Linked DNA regions of Danio rerio. The protein of the gene in region 1 binds, or shares a complex with, the protein of each later gene. Links are inferred from orthologs where the notes say so. Each region holds a gene or a part of one and is shown on either strand. Other genes may lie near its edges. The genes, in order: itpr1a and cnn1b.

What was found.
Region 2: itpr1a (region 1) and cnn1b share a complex: the UniProt entries of both Homo sapiens proteins name them as parts of the cGMP kinase signaling complex. The link is inferred for Danio rerio from reciprocal best matches to the Homo sapiens genes ITPR1 and CNN1.

Annotation. Positions count from the first base shown.
Region 1 is NC_133181.1:42,473,401-42,477,662, forward strand, and holds the start of itpr1a (inositol 1,4,5-trisphosphate-gated calcium channel ITPR1), read left to right. Parts: upstream 1-1,148; 5' UTR 1,149-1,273; intron 1,274-4,262. UniProt on the Homo sapiens protein: Inositol 1,4,5-trisphosphate-gated calcium channel that, upon inositol 1,4,5-trisphosphate binding, mediates calcium release from the endoplasmic reticulum (ER).
Region 2 is NC_133178.1:13,111,377-13,115,845, forward strand, and holds the start of cnn1b (calponin-1), read left to right. Parts: upstream 1-1,600; 5' UTR 1,601-1,686; coding exon 1,687-1,746; intron 1,747-4,469. UniProt on the Homo sapiens protein: Thin filament-associated protein that is implicated in the regulation and modulation of smooth muscle contraction. It is capable of binding to actin, calmodulin and tropomyosin. The interaction of calponin with actin inhibits the actomyosin Mg-ATPase activity.

The DNA.
Region 1 (4,262 bases):
TCAGAATTCACAATATGTCTTTACGTTTCTTTTCAAGTATCTAAATAAAATAAAATAAAATTATTCTGAATCAATTTGTCTACAAGTAAACTTCAACAGACAGTTGTAGGATGATCACTGAATCCAAAAATGCACTCAGTCTAAGATGATAAAATGGCTTTAGTGATACTGAAGATCACTCTGGTTATTTATAGGCTACATTTTCTGTTCAGGCAACATGGTGGCTCTGTGGTTAGCACTGTTGCCTCACAGCATGAAGGTCACTGGTTCGAGTCCAAGCTGGATCAGTTGGCATTTCTGTGTGGAGTTTGCATATTCTCCCCATGTTCGCTTGGGTTTCTCCAGATGCTCCGGTTTCCCTCACAAGTCCAAAGACATGCGGCAAACTAAATTGGCTGTACACTGAAAAAAAAATATTCAAAGATGATTCCTTGGATTTACACTTTTTTTACATTAAGTGGTTGTAAACAATTTATTTGGGCTGAATTTAAACAAACAAATTAAGCTGAACATTATTAAATGTAATTAGTTTGTTTAAATTCAACACAAATAAATTGTGTGCAACAGTTCTGTGTGTGAATGAGTGTGTATGGATGTTTCCCAGTACTGGATTGCAGCTGGAAAGGCATTGCTGTGTAAAACATATGCTGGATAAATTGGCGGTTCATTCTGCTGTGGTGACTCCTAATTAATAAAGGTGAAGGAAAATGAATGATTTTTTCTGTTCTGTAGCCTATTTAAGAAACAATTTTGTGTACCACTTTATATTAAGAACTCACTCTTGAATCAATTTGACAGTACACTTGTCAGAAATCTAAACATATAAATGAGTACAACACATTTTAAATGTAAGTAAGAGAAGTTACTAGCTATATGACTCCCCAGTCTCATCCGCATATTTTTTGCTTATTTATTTGCTCTAAGTGAAAGCAGTTTCTCTTGTCTCTACAAACTGTTCACACACACACAAAATAAATAAATAAATAAAATAATTTATTTCTTTCAATGGGGAATTTCTGGGTCTTGTAGTTCTTTAATATCGCAGATTATTAAAGTAGCCGTGAGGCGCGGCACCGCTGAAACACTATTTCCCAGAAACCCCTTGAACTCCGATGCAGACAGAGTCACTCGGCAAGCCGAAAAGAGACGAACATCATCGGGGCGATGGACCGCTGCTGGACTTGATGAAGAGTCGGGATAATAACTTTCTCAAACAGTGGACGCAACGTTTGGGAAAATACCGACACTATTGCCCCAGCTTCGTCGGAGAGAGGTGAGATCTTAGCTACACAACTATAACCGGACTACTAGAAGTTGTGTTGAGGAAACATGCTTTATTAAATATTTATGTTATCTGCGGGAGAGCATCGCGCGCGCCCCGCTGATCTGAACCCGCCCCTAGGTTAGAAAAGCTGCCGTGAGAAAGTCGCCTACAGAAAGATGAAGAAAAAGATACAAAGTCGGCGAGGACGACACAAGTGTGTCAACTGTTCACGGGTGATGGGTTTCTTCTTGTTTTATGGAAATGCTTCAAAACGTAGTATTAAAGAAGTCAAGGAAGGGTCTGGTGCCCTGAGTTTCTAAAATGACTGTTTCCTGTATAGTTAATGTATCGCAGCTTACTCTCATTACTGTCTTTTTACGCTTTGACATTGTTGACACGAGGATATAATTAGTTTATTTGCTGAAGGAAGATTCAGCTGTTGCTCAATAAGGGACAGTTACAACTACAACAGCATTATAAGAAGCTACATGCAAAACAACAAGTAACAAATGTATAGTTTTAATGTAATATGTGCAAGGTTTTTCTTTTGTATGCAGATGAACTGAAGACTACTCGCATGCAAATCCCTCCTCCGCTCTCTCTCTCTCTCTCTCTCTCTCTGTGTGTGTCTCTGCGTATTAACGGTTTGGTTGGCTAATCATTTGTTAATCAAATCAAGTTACAGGAAGAATCTGTGGTGAGGATACAAGCGTCAAACGAGTTACATGGAACTGTTACAGTCATCCTAAAAAACGTTCAGAGTTTTTACTTGTCATGTTTATTTTTTTTTTTGCAGTAGATTGCCATGTCAAAATATCTTAAATGTTGAGTGATCCACATTTTTAACAGTGATAGATATAGTGTAGAATTTAAAGGGTTAGTTCACCCAAAAGGCTGAGGGGTTAGTACTGCCAGCTCAGAGCAAGAAGGTCGCTGGTTCGAGTCCTGTCTGCGTCAGTTGGCATTTCTGTGTGGAGCTTGCATGTTCTCACTGTGTTCACGTAGGTTTGCTACCGGTGTTTCGGTTTCCCGCACAGTCCAAAGACATGCGCTATAGGTGAAATGAATCAGCTAAATTGGCCGTAGTGTAGCTATGTGAGAGAGTGTATGGGTGTTTCCCAGTACTGGATTGCAGCTGAAAGGGCATCCGTTGTGTAAAACATATGCTGAATAAGTTAGTAGTTGATTCCGCCGTGGCGACTCCTGATGAATAGCTGAAGGAAAATGAATGAATGAGTTCACCCAAAAAAGAAAATTATGTTGTTAATTACTCACTTTCATGTCATTCCAAAACCATTAGCCCCTTTCACACAGTGATACCGGTAAATATCTGGAAAATTTCCGGAACGACTTTACCGGTATATTCAAAAAAGCGCTGTTCACACAGGCGAGGACGTTACGGAAATTTTCCGGAAATGAGCATTCACACATATCCATTCCAAAATACCGGTAAATTGTCACATACAACCTTTAAACGGCTGCGCTTGTATTTGTAAACATTTGACTAAATTACAAACTCTGTGGATGATCAATATTGTGAACAACTTTCGCAGGATCACTTTCTCATGTCGAGATGTTCATAATATGTGCGTGTGCAGGCGCTCACAGGCTGTTTCAAAGGCACACGCCAAGCTAAAAGGTAAACAAACAACGGCTTATCATAAGCATCTCATCGATGATTATTTACACAGTTGGCATAAAGAAGAACATATAAACGTGATCTGACTAACTTCTAGCAGCTAAATGTGTCTGGAAAAATATTCAAAGGTTTTTATTCTCACAAACCACGCGGACGTAAATGCGTCTGACTGTTATGATTGGCTAAAGCAGACGTCTCACGTCAGCACGTTCTAGACGTGCACGCGCTTATTACGGGAATCTTCCTTCTGCGTTCACACAGCGCAGCATTCCGGCAAATTGTCGGTAATGTTACAACTTCTCTTTCCGGAAAATAGCCAGAACGAATTTACCGGTATTTTCAAAAAGGACCTGTTCACACATACAACCTTTCCGGAAAATTGCCGGCAATTTTCCGGAAAGGTCTGTATGTGTGAAAGGGGCTATTGAGACTTTTGTTTAACTTTAGAACACAAATTAAGATATTTTAGATGAAGTCTGAGGCCCCAGTTTACATTAATACGTTTTAGTTTTAAAATGCATGTTTTGCTACGGGTACGCCTTCTGTCCACATTACCACATTAGTTTTCGAGCCCAAAAAATGAAGCGTTTTGGAAATGCTGGTTTCAAAACACTGCTGCTCTGTGTCAGTGTGTTGATGGGGGAATGCAGAGACATCTGAAAAAGAAGCGTGGCTGCAGACATCTGATTGGGGCTTTTCTCAATATTAAGTACACAAAGTTCAGTCTTAAATACTTTCCTTAAGTTCAGACTTTGCAAGTTTGATATGGAAAATAAACTTCTGAGGACAGGTCGGGTAAATCTTCAAAGGGAACAGTGTACTTTATACCCTCATTCTCATCACATTGTTTATGTTGTTTTACTATCAAGATAAATTCAATATCACTTTTAACAACCAAGATGATGTCCAGTGGTAGATCCTTGATGAACTGTCTGACATCTGCTGCTCTCACCTGGGTAGGTGTGCTCAAAGCACCCGTTGACTGCCTGTAGCTCAGGCGTTCACATACACTACAGCGCATGCCAGAGTGTGTGTTTAGTCATGTGAGGTGCGTTTTAAGTGATGTTGTGTGAACAGAGATCTTTTCAGAAATGCTAGGTGAAACTCCAGTGGGGACGTGGATCGTTTTCATTCTAAAACGCATCAGTGTAAATTAGGCCTGAGAGCTCCCTCATCCTCCATAGACAGCAAGGTTCCCAACTTGTTTAAAGTACAAATAATTACCAGAAAACATCTTCGAGCCAGTTCATGTTCAGCGGGTCAAACTGAATATTAAGCTACGAAAATAGTTTTATACACACCTAAAACCAAACTAACAAATGAATACATTATGTTTGTTTTATCTGCATACAAAATTAT
Region 2 (4,469 bases), on another chromosome or scaffold:
TACAGTATAATCCCGCTGTAACTCAGAACTGTTAAGTTGACTTAACTTTTAAAAATTATGTACATGGTTTCTTGATAATGAATAGTTTACTTTAGTAGTTCTCAATTGTTTTTCATCAAGTACCACCTCAGAAAAAAAGTTGTCTTTCCAAGTACCACCGTAATGATGAGGCAGATTAATTCCTATTACAGTTTTTCTCAGTGGCTTTGCTGCAGTTCTCACAACACTATTTATATTTGCACAACAGGTAAAACAATTAGTCGTTTGTGCACATCATAGTAGCAGTTTCTCATTTCTTCAAACAAATTGTTTGCTTTTGGTCATGCATCAATTGCTTTCATACAACTCTCTGCTGTTTATAGCATCATTTGCTTATCAGAATGATTAGCCCCTCTTTGAATAGTTCATCCCCCCCCCCATGATGTATAGCAGAGCAAAGGAATTTTCACAGTATGTCTGATAATATTATTTTCTTCTGGAGAAAGTCTTATTTGTTTTTATTTCGACTAGAATGAAAGCAGTTTTTAATTTTTTAAAAACATTTTGAGGTCAAAATTATTAGCCCCTTTAAGCTATATTTATAATAGGCTACAGAACAAACCATCATTATAATCCCTCTTAATAATAACTTGACTAATTACCCTAACCTGCCTAGTTGACCTAATGAACCTAATTAAGCATTTAAATGTCACTTTAAGCTGTACAGAAGTGTCTGGAATAATATCTAGTCAAATATTATTTACTGTCATCATGGCAAAGATAACATAAATCAGTTATTAAAGATGAGTTATTAAAAGTATTATGTTTAGAAATGTGTTGAAAAATCTACTCTCTCTTAAACTGAAATTGGGGGAAAAAAATAAACGGGGCTAATAATTCACGGGGGCTAATAATTCTGACTTCAATTTAAGTGTTCAGATGCAAAAACCTCTAAATGCCATGTGAAATTTCCATTGAAAAGAACATTTGTCTTAACCTCATATGTTTATGTAGAGATATTTCACTTTAAAGAACAGGATAAGAACTTATTCTTTGCTATAAAAGTAATATTATTGAACACACACACAGGAACCTGATAAAAATGCTCATTTTAGAGGAAAATTCCAGATGGCATTTAGAGGTTTTTGTATCTAAACTCTTCAATTGTGTCTCTTATTTGACCTTCTTTATAAAGAGGCCCTTAAATTTCATCATTGAATATTATCAACATGATACACTTTGATATAAGTACGGAAATTGCGTTTCGCTGGAAATAAATGTGTTAAATCATGATCATGTGCCATTCATAATTCGTTTTACTCTAAGGTTTGTTTGTTTTGGGTATTTTAGTTAATAGACATATTTGGTGCTGTGTTGCGTCAGCACTTTAAATACGAAGCAAAAATCAACCGAGAAACACCAAATTGGACGAATCAGAGGCATCCCTAACTCACTTCAAAGTGGAAAAAGTGACATGGGACGCGTTTAATGCCATGCCGGTGACATCATTTGTGCAGAGCTGCGTGACGTCGCGATTGGACGTCAGCCCCGGCCAATCGGCGCTCGCTCCGCGCACGCACAGATGGGAAGAGTTTAAAAAAGATTGTGGAAAAGAAGATGTGGCCCAAACCTTCCCCACATGATCGGACAGTCGGACCGGAGATTCCAGATCTAACATTATATCGCCGCCCTCTCGTCTGAATCACGATGTCAACGCAGTTCAAGAGCGGACCTGCTTTCGGACTGTCCGCGGAGGTCAAGAGTAAGGTAGGCATCACTTTGATTGACAGCTGTCAAATATGCGCAGGTAGCACGTGCGGCTAATAAAATCAGACAGATTACTGTATCATTTATTCAAGAAAACATTACTTATGTAAATGGAATAGGTTTATTATGAGTGCTTGCATCATTTCAGATATATCATAACAGGTTGTTTATGTATGATGAGATGGTTGTAGGGATCTTACTCGACAAATGAACTTCACCAAAGTCAAAACAAAAGTTTAAAGGGGTAGTTCACCCAAATATAAAAATGTCCTTAAATTCGCTCACACTAAAGTGCTTCTTCTCCTTTATGAATTTCTTCTGTTGAACACAAAACAAATATTCTGGGGAATGTTGAAAAAAGCCGTCATTGGCATCCATTGTGGGAGCAAACAATACTAAGCAAGTCGATGGTTGTTTTTCCAACATTCTCAGTTTAACAATCTCTGTTTTTAACAGAAAGAAAAAAACCTCAAACGGGTTTAGAACAAGTGGATTAAGAGTACATGTTGACAGAATCCACATTTAGGAATGAGGGAGATCTTAAAAATCCGTATTTTATTACAGTAGTTGTATCGCACAATTTTGTTTTCTTTATAACAGCATTTTGGCTGTCAGAAATAGTACAAAGTATGTTAAGTTGACGCTCATGAACAGACATATCCATAGCAGCACTCAGTGTAAAAAGTGCTGGGGTCCACAAAGTTGATTTGTGTTAAGACAACGTGAAGGAACTTTACAAATTTAGGTTGATTGAACATGAAACAATTGAGTTGTACCAAAAATAAACTCATGAGTTGGGTTGTTTCAGCTCATTTTAAATGAGTAATTCGAACAAACAGCAAGCGTAAATCTTTCGAGTGCTCCGAGCTCGAGTAATGTAGGCTACTTTCTGGTAAGTCGATGATTGACATTATAACACACAATCATTTTCACTCTTTTATAGGTTAACGCTGTGTAAAGTGTTACTTAAACATTCGTTGTTAGTTGTAAATGTTTAGTTAAGAGGTAACGAAAGTTAGGCTATAGTTCAGGCTGTGACAAACTGCAAATACTTTAATTAGACTTGTAAAATATTTTTAACAAATCATTGTAAAGTGGTTAAATCATAGTTTTTTTCACAATACTACAGTAATAAAGTGTAAAATTCAATGCATAGGCTCTATTTGTCTGAAGGCAGCTTGAAATATTATCTAGGATTATATTAAATATTGGAACATTATGAAATGTCTTACAGGTAAAAATTTGTTATTTACCCTGTAATAAGTGTAATAGTAAAAAAAAAAAACGTTACAACTATTTGTTTCTGATTTTAGCCCATAATAATTCATTTTGGGGGCATCACAGTCGCGCAGTGGGTAGCATGATCGCCTCACAGCAAGAAGGTTGCTGGTTCGAAGCACTGGCTAGGTCAATTGGCATTTCTGTTAGGAGTTTGCATGTTCTCCCCGTGTTGGCGTGGGTTTCCGGGTGCTCCGGTTTCCCCCACAATCCAAAGACATGCGCTATAGATGAATTGAATAAGCTAAATGGGCCGTAGTGTATGTGTGAATGCAAGAGTGTATGGTTGTTTCCCAGTGTTGGGTTGCAGCTAGAAGGGTATCTGCTGTGTAGAACATATGCTGGGTAAGTTGGCGATTAATTCCGCTGTGGCAACCCCTGATTAATAAAGGGACTAAGCCGAAAAGAAAATGAATAAATGAATAATTTATTTTGTGACTCTATATTGATTGATATTCATTTGGTTTGATTCACTTATTTTATTCTTTGATTTTGACCTAAAACACATTAGCACATTGTTCTGATGTAAAAGTTACATCTGTATAAGCCTCCTTACATGATCAAAATTTATACTGTAACATTGGCTTCTGAAGTGAAGCTTGAAGGTGCGTTACACAAGAGTTGGCATAAATGCAATTAAATAGCAAATACAACTGTTTATTTGTTGCTAAGAGGTGTAAGTGTGGGCAAAATGTAGTCTGGCTTTTATGTAGCATTGCATTATTACAATTATTTTTTTTTAGCTCTCACAAAGCACTCTTAACTCTGCTATGTAAATATGTTTTAAAGGGCCAGTTCACACAAAACTGAAAATTCTGTCATCATTTTGTCACTATTAACTTTTCCAAGTCTGTTTGAGTTTCTATTTTGTTGTTGTTATTGTTGTTGGTGTTGTTAAACCCAAAATAATTCATTTTGAGAATTTATTTATAAATCTATAACCATTGACTTTCATAGTACTTGTTTTTTTCTGCTATAAATGTCAATGGTTACCGGTTTCTAACATTCTTCAAAATATCTAATTTTGTATTCAACAGAAAAAAGAAACACTTGAAGGTTAGGAACCACTTTAGAGAGAGTAAATAGTGAGTAATTGTTCATTTTTGAGTTAACAAACACATCTATGTTGAGCTGCTTTGAAACAATCTACATTGAGCGAATCGAATAAAGATGAATTGAATGGTTTGCAGCACTCTAATATGACAGTGTACACATAATTCCTGCACACATCACTGTTCAAACCTCTTCCAGTTGTTGATCTTGCATGATAGGGTCCCTTTGAGCTCGGAGAATCTGATGTTCCCCATTCAGACACACAGGATCTGTACGTGCATGACTGAGCTGCTGAGCGAAAACATGAACACAGTGTGCTTCCAGACACCAGAGTCACACACAGTGCAGCAGCCGTTTTAATTGTTTTCAAAAGATCTCTCTTATACACACCG